Schizosaccharomyces pombe: one gene and its partners. The protein of the gene in region 1 interacts with the protein of each later gene in a biochemical or structural test. Each region holds a gene or a part of one and is shown in the gene's direction. Other genes may lie near its edges.

The links. Proteins that work in one complex are often made in the same cells at the same time.
Region 2: of the proteins of cds1 (region 1) and cdc25, one has a biochemical effect on the other in vitro, tested with the Schizosaccharomyces pombe proteins (3 studies listed by BioGRID).
Region 3: of the proteins of cds1 (region 1) and rad60, one has a biochemical effect on the other in vitro, tested with the Schizosaccharomyces pombe proteins (2 studies listed by BioGRID, with this or other methods).

Annotation. Positions count from the first base shown.
Region 1 is NC_003421.2:737,729-742,888, reverse strand, and holds cds1 (replication checkpoint kinase cds1), read left to right. Parts: upstream 1-1,550; 5' UTR 1,551-1,658; coding exon 1,659-1,916; exon of another isoform or gene 1,917-2,007; coding exon 2,008-2,056; exon of another isoform or gene 2,057-2,123; coding exon 2,124-2,155; exon of another isoform or gene 2,156-2,200; coding exon 2,201-2,285; exon of another isoform or gene 2,286-2,353; coding exon 2,354-2,613; intron 2,614-2,678; coding exon 2,679-2,888; intron 2,889-2,926; coding exon 2,927-3,135; exon of another isoform or gene 3,136-3,207; coding exon 3,208-3,487; 3' UTR 3,488-3,528; downstream 3,529-5,160. Other genes in the region: cab5 (dephospho-CoA kinase), read right to left, coding at 386-1,059, 1,108-1,144; THO complex subunit Tho3, read left to right, coding at 3,634-3,660, 3,723-3,996, 4,040-4,131, 4,184-4,252, 4,295-4,539, 4,585-4,663, 4,730-4,873; protein Thc1, read left to right, coding at 5,019-5,160. UniProt on the Schizosaccharomyces pombe protein: Has a role in the DNA replication-monitoring S/G2 checkpoint system. It is responsible for blocking mitosis in the S phase.
Region 2 is NC_003424.3:478,728-484,078, reverse strand, and holds cdc25 (protein tyrosine phosphatase (M phase inducer) Cdc25), read left to right. Parts: upstream 1-1,705; 5' UTR 1,706-1,793; exon of another isoform or gene 1,794-1,893; 5' UTR 1,894-2,538; coding exon 2,539-4,329; 3' UTR 4,330-4,851; downstream 4,852-5,351. Other genes in the region: hxk1 (hexokinase 1), read left to right, coding at 1-632.
Region 3 is NC_003423.3:2,404,830-2,408,773, forward strand, and holds rad60 (DNA repair protein, SUMO-related Rad60), read left to right. Parts: upstream 1-1,990; 5' UTR 1,991-2,002; coding exon 2,003-2,105; exon of another isoform or gene 2,106-2,155; coding exon 2,156-3,273; 3' UTR 3,274-3,444; downstream 3,445-3,944. Other genes in the region: toc1 (Tor complex Tor2-interacting protein 1), read left to right, coding at 1-86; rpl35A02 (60S ribosomal protein eL33), read right to left, coding at 675-792, 924-1,132; nucleoporin Mex67, read right to left, coding at 3,475-3,944. UniProt on the Schizosaccharomyces pombe protein: Required for repair of DNA double strand breaks which occur during replication, or induced by UV or gamma radiation, via recombination between sister chromatids. This has a subsequent role in the maintenance of chromosome structure.

The DNA of each region.
Region 1 (5,160 bases):
CCAACGAAACTAACAAAAAAAATTTAATTATTCTTTGACATAAATATAAGTCACGCATTGTAGCAAAGATTGATTAATACAAGTTCAATACCCAAGTATACAGACAATGAAAGAAGGAACGCAATCGATTTCTTATTTAAAACCCAGAAATCTAAGCGAGAACCTCTACATTAATCATTATTGTAGTGTTCAGCTATTTGTATGCGCATGAAAAGATTTAATTTCTCATTTCAAATCATGATAAAACATATACTCGTGAATTTATATAGAAAGCTCGAGGCAAGATATTGAGATAAGTTATGAAAATGATCTAATTATAAGCAAAAACATTAAGACTATTGGCTTAAATAACAAACGAGGAAATTAAAGAATATGGAAAAAAGGATTATATATGTTTTCTGAATTCAGATACCTTTTTCTTCTGCGAGACAAAGGCAATAACTTGTAAAGTTATTTGCAATGGCGGTAGAATTAAACATAGTAAGGTAAAAAAATAGGAAGGTGTGATTAAAGGTAGGACATTATGTATGTTTTCATATAAGGTCTCAAGATCCGAATTATTTTCTATTACAATGTCCGCAAGCTGACACTTAAGTTCAAGAGGCATCTGCGCTTGTACTCGGTTTTCAGCATCCTCTGCAGTAAGCTCAGGATTACGTGCCAGCAAACGTTGCTTTTGAATGCTTTTATCGCAAGACACGCAGATCGTTTTCCAGCAAATAAATTGCATTTTAGCTTCAAAAAGCAAAGGAACGTCCAAAATAACTATGCTGTAACCCCGTACGTAACATCGAAGCAGTTCTTTGAGCATTTCCAAACGTACTGCTGGATGTATTATTGAATTCAAAAGTGACCTCTTTCCTGCGTCTTGAAATACTGCCTGGCCAAGCTTTGCTCGATTCAAAGTGCCATCTTCATGTAATACTTCATTACCGAACTCTTTCTGAATTTTTATTAAGCAAGGTGTATTCGGTTCTACCACCTTTCTAGCTAACACATCAGCATCGATAATTTTTATATGATATTTCTCTTGAAACTCGCGAGAAACTGTAGATTTCCCTTAACTAGGTTAACCACTATTAAACCAATTGTTATTTGATAACTTACCCGTGGCAATTGAGCCGGTTAAACCAAGAATCAGCATTATATTTCTTATTCCTTGCTTTGGTATAGAAGATTTTTGAATAATGGTAACAATTAAGGAGATCAGAAAACTATTTAATGCCGTAGAACAAAGTCTTCAATCGCGGAAGTCGAAGTTTGAAATACAAAGGAATGTTGACAGATGGCAACCTTCACGTATACCAAAAAAATATAAATAGGGATTACTACTACTTAACAATTAACATTTAATCCTCACTACGTATAACGTACAGTAAAGTAGGTGGATGAAACATTGTTTATATTACTCGTGCTTCGCGAAAAATCTGGTATTGCAACAGTTCGTTATTATTGTCTTATGATACATTTTATATCGTAAAATTTATAACGATGTTTAAAGCGAAGTCAGTAAATCATAAGCCCTCGTCTGACATGATAACTGCTTCTTTGGTCTTTTTACTTCTGTTAAAAGCTTGATCACTCATTTGCACGTTTATTTGTGTTTACTGATATACATGGTTAAAGAATTCATCCAGTTTTTCTGTTTTTAAGATACTATGGAAGAACCAGAAGAAGCTACGCAGGCTACTCAAGAGGCACCACTACATGTTAGTCAGAACATAGCCAAACAGGTGGTTAACAACGAAAATGTATTTATGAAATTGGTTATGACTCGCATGCTTGATGGTAAGACAGAAGTGATTCCTCTTACTACAGATGTGCACAATGGGTTTTGGAGATTTGGACGTCATAAATCTTGTGAAGTGGTTTTAAACGGACCTAGAGTTAGCAACTTTCATTTTGAAATCTATCAGGTATATAAAATAATAGTGGCCAGCTGAACTCGTTTAGTTTTAATTGAACTTCAATCTCTTTAAGACATAATTATCTAACGAAATGACCCAGGGGCATAGAAATGATTCCGATGAATCTGAGAATGTCGTTTTTTTACACGGTAAGTCTAAAGGATTAAAAAATCTTTTAAAGTCTTCTGCCTCTTCCACCTTTTCTAACAATTTCAGACCACTCTTCTAATGGAACATTTCTGAATTTTGTAAGCGAGAGCTTAATTCGTTTACAATTTACTGACGTCATTTAGGAACGGCTTGCCAAGAATAGTAGAACTATCTTGTCAAACGGAGATGAAATTCGAATTGGCCTAGGTGTGCCGAAAGATGAAATTTGTACGTCCTTTACACTGAAGGAGATTGTTGACGTAGAATTCACTTCAAGTTTGCTTACAGTCTTATAGCTTTTTTGTGCCAGGTACCAGTTAAACATTCACGAGATTCCCAGAAAAACATGATTAAATCCGAGAACAGTCATTACGAAATTATTCGTACACTTGGAAGTGGTACATTTGCAGTTGTCAAGCTAGCGGTAGAAGTGAATAGTGGCAAGTGGTATGCTATTAAAATTATCAACAAACGAAAAATCCTTTTGACAAGTTCGGAAAAGCGAGCTACTGAAATGTTTCAACGAGAAATTGATATATTAAAATCTTTGCACCATGTGAGTATCATTTTATGTTCACCTTTTTTTATACGAAAAACTCCTAGCTAACACTTATCTTTTAGCCAGGAGTTGTACAATGCCATGAAATTTTTGAAAATGATGACGAGTTATTTATTGTTATGGAATATGTTGAGGGTGGGGATCTTATGGATTTTTTAATTGCTAATGGCTCCATCGACGAACAAGACTGTAAACCTCTTCTCAAACAACTTTTAGAAACGCTTTTACATTTGCACAAGCAGGGTGTGACACATAGAGACATAAAACCCGAGGTATATCTTGTTTATTGATAAGAAAGTCTAACTTGTAGAACATTCTTATAACAAATGATTTCCATCTTAAAATATCTGATTTTGGCTTGGCTAAAGTTATTCATGGGACGGGAACCTTTTTAGAAACATTTTGCGGGACAATGGGTTATCTAGCACCGGAAGTTTTGAAGTCAAAAAACGTCAACTTGGACGGAGGTTATGATGATAAAGTTGATATATGGAGTTTGGGATGTGTTTTATATGTGATGTAAGTTTGTCGGCTTTAATCAATTAGCAATGAACCTTCATGCCTTAATTTTTTCCAATTACTAATTCACAGGCTTACTGCGTCTATTCCTTTTGCATCTTCGTCACAAGCAAAATGTATTGAGTTGATATCAAAAGGTGCATATCCGATAGAGCCTTTATTAGAAAACGAAATTTCAGAAGAGGGAATCGATTTAATCAACAGGATGCTTGAAATTAATCCAGAGAAAAGAATATCTGAAAGTGAAGCTCTCCAGCATCCTTGGTTTTACACTGTGAGCACACACGAACATCGTACTCCACCATCATCGTCTGAACATGAGGCCACCGAACAGCTCAATTCTTCGAGTTAGATTATTAATATTTAGTATTCTAAATGATAATTAATTTTTATACTTAGACCGTCAAATTTATAATATTGTAAATAGACAGTAAGTTTACACTAACCACTCTGTCCACGTACTACTATCCCTTTGGACGTCTCGACGCGATCTTTGCCATGTGTGCTTCAGTTACAGAATCGCTTGTATGTTAATGATTTATAAAAACTAGAGCATAAAATACTAAAACTTTCTTTTTTCTTTTTAGCCAAAGTTTCCCGAATTGAAAACTCGAGATTTACAAGGGCAACAGGGACCTATACGTTCCCTAGGCTGGAATCTTTCCGGCTCGAGACTTGCGAGTTCTTCATCTTCAGGATCAGTACTTGTTTGGAATTCAGATCGTTTGGATTTTAAATTTACTACTGAATTAGGGAACAGAGGATATGGTCTTGTCGAACAACTAGTATGGGATCCTACGCATTCTGATCGGTTAATGGCTGTGTATGCTGGGAAAATGATCCGTTTCTGGGACTTTAGAAGTATGCAATGAAGTCTTTGACTGTTTGTTAACTATTTATTCAGGCGCCAAACCTATCGCTGAAATAGAAAGCAACTATGAGAATATTTATGCAACCTGGAGTCCAAGTGGAAATTACTGCTGTGCTAGTAGTCGGGTACGAGAATATTTTAAGTTTTTATAACGCACGATTGCTAATTGAATGCTAGGATGATATGTTGTCTTTTATTGATGCTCGGGAAAGAAGAATAATGGAGACATTCCAACAACCTTGTGAGGTTTGTTTTTAAACCAATAATAACTTTGCTTACGATTAATAGACAAATGAATGCTGTTGGTCATTCAGTGAAGATTTGTTTTTCATGACTACAGGACTTGGCACGGTGCAAATTATGGAATGGCCTTCTCTAAAAAGAGTTTACGATATAAAGGCGCATAACTCAAATTGTTTCTGTATTGAATTCAGTCCGGATAACAGGCACCTTGCCATTGGTGGTGCAGATGCAATTACTAGTTTATGGGATCCACAAGAACTGATTTGTGAACGGTCGATTACTAGAATGGAGTATGTAGTTTCTTTTAAATTTTTTGGTCGCTAACTTCTAAAAAGTTATCCCATCCGTACATTAAGCTTTAGTTATGACAGTCGCTATTTAGCTAGTGGATCAGAGGACCGCTATGTGGATATCGTAAGTATTTCAGGATGTTTGAAACCGTTTCTTATTTTTATTCTTTTTAATAAACTAACTTGGAAGGCTGATACGAAAACTGGTGATCAAATTTGGAAAATTCCAACTAATGGACCTCTGAACAAGGTAGCTTGGCATCCAACAAAACATATTTTAGCATATGCTGTATCGGAGCCTAATTCTAGTGGTCTTAAGATATTTGGGCTATAAATGATTGAAAATTGGCAATCTTGTTCACGCTGATCAACAATAAAAAAACGGCTACTTAGTATTTACCCTATACTCTTAGCATGGATACCTTCAATATTCATTGAAGTTGTAGTTTTAGCTTATTTGGTACCAAAAGTTTTGAAGAATGGAAGAGAAAAATACTGTTTCTTTATCTAAGCATATTGAACGTCCAGTAGAAGTTGTTGAAAGTCATTCTACGTACATTTTAAGTGCACAAGGACTTTATCTTACAGAACGCGTTTTAAGAAGTTATTTTAAACAACCTG
Region 2 (5,351 bases), on another chromosome or scaffold:
ACCAGCATGTTGTCCTTCCTCGTACCAAATACGATGTTGCTATTGATGAAGAGTCTCCCAGACCCGGTCTTCAAACGTACGAGAAAATGATTGCTGGATGCTATTTGGGTGATATCTTGCGTCGTATTCTTCTTGACCTTTATGAACAGGGAGCTCTCTTTAACGGTCAGGACGTTACCAAGATTCGTGACCCCTTGGCCATGGATACCTCTGTGCTCAGCGCTATTGAAGTTGACCCCTTTGAGAACCTTGATGAAACTCAAACCCTATTTGAGGAAACCTATGGTCTCAAGACCACCGAAGAAGAGCGTCAATTCATTCGTCGTGCATGCGAATTGATTGGAACTCGTTCTGCCCGTCTTTCTGCGTGTGGTGTATGCGCCCTTGTTCGTAAAATGAATAAGCCATCTATGATTGTAGGTACTGATGGTAGTGTCTACAACTTATACCCTCGTTTTAAGGATCGTCTTGCTCAAGCATTTAAGGATATCCTTGGTGAGGAAATTGGCAGCAAAGTTGTTACCATCCCCGCCGAAGACGGTAGTGGCGTAGGTGCTGCATTGGTCAGTGCTCTTGAAGCCAAAGGCAAGGCCCTCACTTCTGATATTCTTGCCGAGCATCTTAAGAATTAAGTCCACTCATTGTTTTTAGGTTTTACGGATACTCATTTGATTTTGTGTCACTGAACTCCACGAAGTGTTCGACAAACTGTTTTATACTGCACTTTTTATTTGTTTCATACTCCATCTTTTTGCGTACAATTTGTTCCAGCAATTTTTATGGTTACACTTTTCTTTGTCTACTAATCACGTATCAGGGCGTTTTTACAAAAAGGTGCTCCACCTGATAAAATATTTTCTTTTTTGCTCTAGTGTTTCTGTGGATACGATATCTGCCTCTGATTGCTAGAATACTTTAAATAAAGGTTAGAGTTTTGTTATATTTTGTATGTTGAAGTGTAATAATAGCGGTATCTTTGTTGAAGATATCCGAGTTTAACAAGACAACTGGCTATACTATCTTGCGAAATATGCCTACTACGACAATAATGGTATCAACCCATAGCTACATAACATCGGGAGACTTTCAATGAGTTACACCCTCGTTTTCCAATTCGGAATGACAGTCCGAGTCCCGAAGTAGAGAGATTCATCGTGTTACGATTATTCGCTAACACCTGATAACATATTTTATCTCGCTGCTCGTGTTACATATCAGGAGTGCGGGTATGAGATTATGGGGATTTAATGGCTGTCAAGCAGGTTACCTGACGTTTGTTCTTATGTATTTGTTTACACATACACAACATTTGGCGTTGCTAGGGCAACAAATCAGACAAACTGCGGTGGATCGAATAGCTGAGATGTATGGACATGTAAACAAACATACAAGATGCAAAAATTTATGTGTTTTCATCTAGTTCAATGTTGTTAATGAAATGATTATTTGCTTTTATATAATTAATAGATTAAGAGGTGACATATTGTAGCTTGAAACGGCATTATCTACGCAACTAAACTATACAACAATAGTTGTCATGGCTGAGGTGTTGGCTAAGTATTACAGCTTACAGTTTAACTTTGCTTTAATCATGTATTTGTTTTTATTATTGTTTTCTGTTACTCGAATTTGTTGGTTGGTGTTTTATTGTTGTTGTTACCTTTGCTTTTTTTTCCTCTCGGAGGCAGAGCTGAGATTTCTCTCTACCCTCAACTATCTACAGCGCTTCAAGCTCTTCTCCTTTAGATCAAGTGTATTACATTGAAAATATTATTCTTAAGAATACCAAAGTTGTAAGTTTAAAAAGAACTTGATGCCTGTTAGTTTCGGGCATCCTTCTCTCCTCAAGTTGGATTCCTGTTGATGCTTCTCAAGTACTAACTGCTGGTTCAGTGATTTTTTGAAACGTCTATAATACAATTGCTTACGCTTTTTAAGGCAATTAATAGGATTCTTGAAGTTATTTGTTCAAGAAGCCTTTATATGGTAAAGTGGGGGGTTTATTACTTGTAACGAACTTTGAGTCTGAACTTTTGGGTATTCTGTTGTTTTCATATTAATCAACTGCTTTCTTTTAACTTTCTTTTTTCTTTCATTTTTTCTTTCAACGACAGTATCTTTTATATTCTATATTATAGTCGTGACCGTTGGTGCTCATCTATTTTTGTCTCATTAATCTCTTTTTTTTTATATACTTTTATTCGGTCTTCCCGTCGTGTGGAGTCTAAACTTACTTAAACTTCTTTCCGGTTTCTTTTGTAAAGGTTGGTTTTGTTTAATATTTGGCTATATTGCTTTCATCCTGTCTTTCTTTTAGTTTTCTTTTTGTCTCACTTTGGCATTAATATCTTAAACCGGTCTTTTGACTCTTCCCTAGGATTTTCCTTTATAATTTATCTTACTTGCTCTATTGATTTCTCATTCTGAAACTCAATCTTTTGCAGTCGTGTCGTCCCATTAGTTCTTTTTGCAGTGTACTTGGTTTAAATTAAATTTACCATTTTGTCTGCTTTTAATAATAGTTAAACCTCAACTAAAATGGATTCTCCGCTTTCTTCACTTTCCTTTACCAACACTCTATCTGGCAAACGGAATGTATTGCGTCCTGCTGCCCGTGAATTAAAGTTGATGTCGGATCGCAATGCAAATCAAGAGCTGGATTTTTTCTTCCCGAAATCCAAACACATTGCCTCAACATTAGTGGATCCTTTTGGAAAAACTTGTTCGACAGCTTCACCTGCATCTTCCTTAGCTGCTGATATGTCAATGAACATGCATATCGATGAAAGCCCTGCCTTACCGACTCCTCGTCGTACGCTCTTTCGATCTCTTTCTTGTACTGTAGAAACCCCTCTCGCTAACAAGACTATTGTTTCACCTCTCCCGGAGTCACCCTCGAATGACGCTTTAACCGAGTCCTACTTCTTCCGGCAACCTGCATCGAAGTATTCCATTACCCAAGATTCCCCACGTGTTTCCAGCACTATTGCTTACAGCTTTAAGCCTAAAGCATCAATCGCATTAAACACCACCAAAAGCGAAGCTACTCGTTCGTCATTATCGAGTTCTTCTTTTGATTCCTACCTTCGTCCTAACGTCTCACGTTCTCGATCATCAGGCAACGCACCCCCATTTTTGCGATCCAGATCGAGTTCCTCATATTCCATTAACAAAAAGAAGGGAACTTCTGGTGGACAAGCTACCCGCCATTTGACTTATGCCTTATCCCGTACCTGTAGTCAGTCGAGCAACACGACCAGCTTACTTGAAAGTTGTCTTACTGATGATACGGATGATTTCGAATTAATGTCTGATCATGAGGATACATTTACGATGGGCAAGGTTGCTGATTTACCAGAAAGCTCTGTTGAACTTGTTGAAGACGCTGCCTCTATTCAACGTCCCAACAGTGATTTTGGTGCTTGCAATGATAATTCTTTAGATGATCTTTTTCAAGCTTCACCCATTAAACCTATTGATATGTTACCCAAGATAAATAAAGATATTGCCTTTCCTAGCTTGAAAGTTAGGTCCCCTTCTCCGATGGCATTCGCTATGCAAGAAGATGCGGAATATGATGAGCAAGATACACCAGTGCTTCGTCGTACCCAAAGCATGTTTCTCAATTCCACAAGACTAGGGCTTTTCAAAAGCCAAGATCTTGTGTGCGTTACGCCAAAACAATCGACCAAAGAAAGTGAGCGCTTCATCTCTTCTCATGTCGAGGATTTATCTCTTCCTTGCTTCGCCGTGAAGGAGGACTCATTGAAACGAATTACCCAAGAAACATTGCTCGGTCTATTAGATGGTAAATTTAAGGATATTTTTGACAAATGCATCATTATTGATTGCCGTTTTGAATATGAATACCTTGGGGGCCATATTAGCACTGCTGTGAATTTAAATACGAAACAAGCTATTGTGGATGCCTTTTTAAGTAAACCTCTTACTCATCGGGTTGCACTTGTTTTTCATTGTGAACATAGTGCGCACAGAGCACCTCATTTGGCATTGCACTTTCGAAATACCGACAGACGAATGAATAGTCATCGTTATCCTTTCCTTTACTATCCCGAGGTTTATATACTTCATGGTGGTTACAAGTCGTTTTACGAAAACCACAAAAACCGTTGTGACCCAATTAACTACGTTCCGATGAACGATGCTTCGCATGTTATGACCTGCACCAAGGCTATGAATAATTTCAAACGAAACGCTACTTTTATGCGTACTAAAAGTTATACTTTTGGCCAAAGTGTGTTAGCTTCCCCAGACGTTAATGATTCTCCTACTGCCATGCATTCCCTCTCTACACTTAGAAGATTTTAATGATTTTAGGCTGACTCAATACTTTACCTAGCCTGAAGTATACTCTTATATATTCAACTTTCTAAACCTAAGTTTTTTCTATAAACTTTGAATCATGAAACCTTTTATTTCTATTTTTTATTATTATTATTGAAAGAAAGCAATATACCTTTTAAAAGGTCTCGACAACAAAAAATTTAAACTGGCTAAACTTTTCGAAGTACATCACTTTTACGACTAAATATCTAGAACGACTAGTTTGGTTATTATTATTACGCATGGATTTTGGTTTAATAATTGATTATTTTATAATCAATTGAGCTTAATAATTTCTAAGCAATCACGGGTAAACATACGTACCGAAGTCCATTCTAATTGCTCTTCTCGCAATTGCTGTTGATAGGAATGCTAAGAATTTAGCATTCTTTGATTGAAGCAGTAATGCGATAGGAACTGAGTTGCTTACGTTTTTGTAACTCTACCTAACCATCTCTGATGGAAATATTTAAGTAGAAAACGAATAAAACTTTTATTTTTAAATCACTTCCTTTTATGCATGTTCTGTAAGCGGTAGTATTGTAGCTTACCCTTTCCAATGGAAGGTTAAGTTCACCAGAGAGTTACGAAGTTTTATGTGATATAAAATAGTTACAATGCGGAAGTTGGACATTCACACTTAAGTACCTTCCCAAAAAAAAAATTACGAAAATTTTTAATCAATACTACTTTTTTGGTAAAAATTTAAACATGTTCCGTTGAGAAAGTGAATCATATGTGTGCTTTTTTAAAATTTGAAGATATTTGTAGATTTTGTTTTGTTTACTTTTTATTTGCAACAATCAGAATGTCGTCATCTAAGTCAACCTTAAATTCGCTTATATGAATTTTATTGATTATGACATCAACGCCCTATGAAGTGCAGCTTTGAACGCCAACGATTGTATTTAATACATTGTAGGATAAACCTCGTAATCATAAATAACGAATTGTTTAAGTATGAAAGTTTGCAGAGCACTTAATGTTCAAACAAACAAATCTTTTTA
Region 3 (3,944 bases), on another chromosome or scaffold:
TATTAAGTGATGATCTTGACAATTCAAAAGCTTTTAGACCTTATAAACAGTCGTTTTTGGCTCAAGGTTGGAAGAGTTTAAATTGAATAGCGTCTATGTGTTTTATCTTTACAATTTAGGACTATTTCTTGCGCTCCTTTTTTTCTCACAAAGAATGCTTGATGATTTTGTTTCGTTGATAATAATTTTGCTATTATTTTATACTATTTTTAAATAATTATAGTTGGGGTTAATAATTGATTTGCTTTTGATTTGTATGATCGACAGCCGATTATAAACATGCTCGACAGTATTCGATCGAACTACCTGCATAAACAAGGTAGTATTCAGTACTAAAGGTTAGACGCCAAACTAGTGAATTTACAATACCTAAGTAATTGATGCAGTGTTGCCCATCAACACCCTAAGAACAGACGACTGAAATGATACTTCGTGAAACGATTCTCAAAAGTTACCTATACAAATTTACAGCTTTTGTTATTTAACATCAATATTGATTAAACTTAAATTAATAATTGTGTTTTAATGTACCAATTACAAATTCCTAGTGAGTAAATAATACCAAAAGCATTGATTACTTTGTATAACAAACGAGGCTTTCGATAAAATGGGATTCCCTAAATAAAATAAATCTAAGAAGCAGAAGAATTGTTGTGAACATAAAAATATTTTATTTAAACATTGGAGGGATAAAGCATGACACGGAGAGAGGCACCAAAGGTCTTGGGAGGAAGATTATGGGTGAAACGAGCACGAACAACACCAGAATTTCCATGAGGACGACTAACAGTTCTAAAACGTAATTAGTAAAGGTTTTGAATGTATTCGTTTAGCCAACAAAAAACGACCGTGAAAATATAGCATTAACGTTTCTTCATATTCTCCAAAGAAACGCAAGAATTTAATTACAAAAATAAACTTACCCCCAAATGACACGAATCTTGGATCCACGAACGGGCTTGTTGCTTTTGTAGACGAAGCAAATACGCTTGCCTAGGTAAAATTGGGCTTCTTCCTTAGAATCACATCCCTCAATCTTTACCAAAGAAGTTCCTGGGTGGATAACATGTTTGCTTCTTTGAAAAGAGAGATGTTTAGCTTTAACGTACAATCTGTGTCCCTGAGCAGGCATTTTGACTTGGTAAAGGCGGAACTCTTAGTGTGGTGATCCTTACCGTTTGCTTAAGCTGTGACTGCCCTTCTTGTGCTTGCAAAACCTAAGCTTGTGTTGGTAGTAAACACTTTCATAAATCTAGCATAGTGTAACGTACTTCATAATCTTATTGATTGCGATCATATAGCTTAATTCATTATATAATCTTAAAAAGATACTCTTCAATTTTTTAAAATTATCTCTCACTTACCAATACAGTATAGTGTAAAGTTTTTCTAATGATCAATATAAAGTAACGGGGACTAACTTGATAATATTCGATTTTGTTTACATATTATTGTTTAGTATTATATCTTGTACCTGAATAGTCTACTACTGAATATAGGAATATCGGCTGATTAAACCTATTCATTGTATCTCTAATAGTACAACAATTTGGTTTTATCTGAACTAAATAAAATTTATTTAGCGAATGAAGAACAAATTATGAATGGCAGTAATGGACGGACGCAATGTAGCCGTCGTAAGGTGAGCCAATGTCATTGAAATTCATCAAACCTAATGTCTCAGTACAAGAAGCAAAGAGTTTTCAAATTACTTAACCTAAAAAATGAAATTCTATAGACTTAAATCTGTTTGCTAAGTGGACAAGATCGGGTTTTGCGTAAGTAAACAAACTTCATTTCGAAGATGAGTTGGAGGAATGTTCATTGAACTTTTTCAATTGAATTATAAAATTATTATATAACTTTCAAAATCGATTTGTAATAAACTTGAGTGAAAACAAAACTAAGCTAAAAATTACCTAGTTTAAGGTGTGTCGCTACAAATTCTCGTTAAATCCATAAGAAGCTTTGTGGAACCACCGTAATTGCTAAAACTCGCCAAATGGACAACCTAGATGAAGATGACTTAGCATTCTTCTCAAAGCCTATTAAAAAGCCTCCATTAAACTATGCCAAGCAATTAATAGCCTCTTCCTCAGATTCTGGTAAGTTTTAATTCCGATTGCAAAGTGTCAGCTTGCTTACAACATTCTAGAAGAGGAAAGTGAACTTGATACCAATAAACAAGCATTAGAACACATAAATGCACAGAAAAATATAACTCATAATGAAAACAAAAGTGCCGAACCTTTATCTCGTCAATCCACTATTTTAGATGCTGATGAAGGCAACCAAGACGTTTCAGACACTACTCCTAATGCGTGTTTGAATGAAGGTAGGCACTCACCCAAAAGTGCTATCTCCTGTGTAACACAACCGGTTTCACCAGTTTATAATACTAGGGCGGCCGCTAACTTGCGAAACAACAGCATTAATAGTGAGGCTGCGCTTTCTACGACTTCATCACTGCTGGACGATGACTTTGCTCGTAGGTTAGAGGAAATTGATCGGCAAGTTCAGGAGTTTGAAAAATCATCAAGTGATATGGATGTACAAATTCACACGCATAAGAGAGAAATTGAAGAAGACGATGACAATACTTCGGCTGATGTGCCCCTTTTAAAGCATTCAAAAAGTGACCACTCAACGCTGTATCACTCCAAATCGGAATTCTCAACAAATGAACCAGTTATTTCCGTCGTTCTCCAGTTAGCCGTAATTGGACAGAGAATTCCAAACAGCAATATCTCTCTTCCCCGGGACTGGGAGGCACCGTTATTTTTCAAAGTTAAGTCGAACCAACAGTTTCGTCGTGTCAGAATAGCGTACTCTGAAAGAAAAAAAGTAGATAACGTTGTTCTTGTATTTCAAAATCAAAGATTATGGGATTATGGAACCCCAAAGGGCGCTGGTATGCTTAAAGTCGATACCCGTTTGGTTGTGCATGCCTACTGTCACTCGGATTTTATATCACTCAAAAGAATAAAAGAATTGGAAGTGGAAAAGTTATCCTCGGTAACTGAAGATTCAACTGCTCAAACGTGTAAACTTATAACGTTGCTTTTGCGTTCGAGTAAGAGTGAGGATCTTCGTCTCTCAATACCCGTCGATTTCACTGTTAAAGATTTGATTAAGAGATATTGTACTGAAGTAAAGATTAGTTTTCATGAACGCATTAGATTAGAATTTGAAGGTGAATGGTTAGATCCCAACGATCAAGTGCAAAGCACGGAACTTGAAGATGAAGATCAAGTTAGTGTTGTTTTGGATTAAAAGGATATTTGGCTCTTACTTTTACCATTGTTCTTTCTTATATTTAATTACCGCCATAATACTTTTATAGAATGATCACGAACGACTATGTATAAATCTAACTTATTCATTTCATCAATATGTACCATTATTAAATAAAAGTTTCCATTTCCCCAGTTTGTAATTTTTTAACCATATCTATCTATACACGTCACTAGAAGTTCATGAAAATGCTTCGGCTGGTATAACATTTCGCGACTTTAATTCCAAAAAAGATGCTAGAGCGCTGTTGTAATCCCAATTATTTTGCTCACAACACATGTGAGCATAGTAATCATTTAAACCTGTCTCCGCCTTAATTTTTAATACAATTTGTTGTCTAGTGTCTAACATTGCTTGTTCCGGTCTTGGCTGTACAATATCACTAGGCTTTGAAGCAGACGCAGACATGGCATTATTGCTTGTTCGTACACTGCTTTGACCAGGTAGCCACCCGAGCGATCCAGCAAATGAACGAATGACTAATAAATCATTTATAATCAATATGCCTGTGGAACCTCCCGGCAAAATCAGCAAAGTTCGATCAAAACTTCGTAGAAGTCGTTTGTTTTGTGGTTCCTCAAATTGCCCATGGACAACAATTTTGATGGCTGCACCAACCGAAGGCAGAACCAGGTTCCAACCATCAAAAA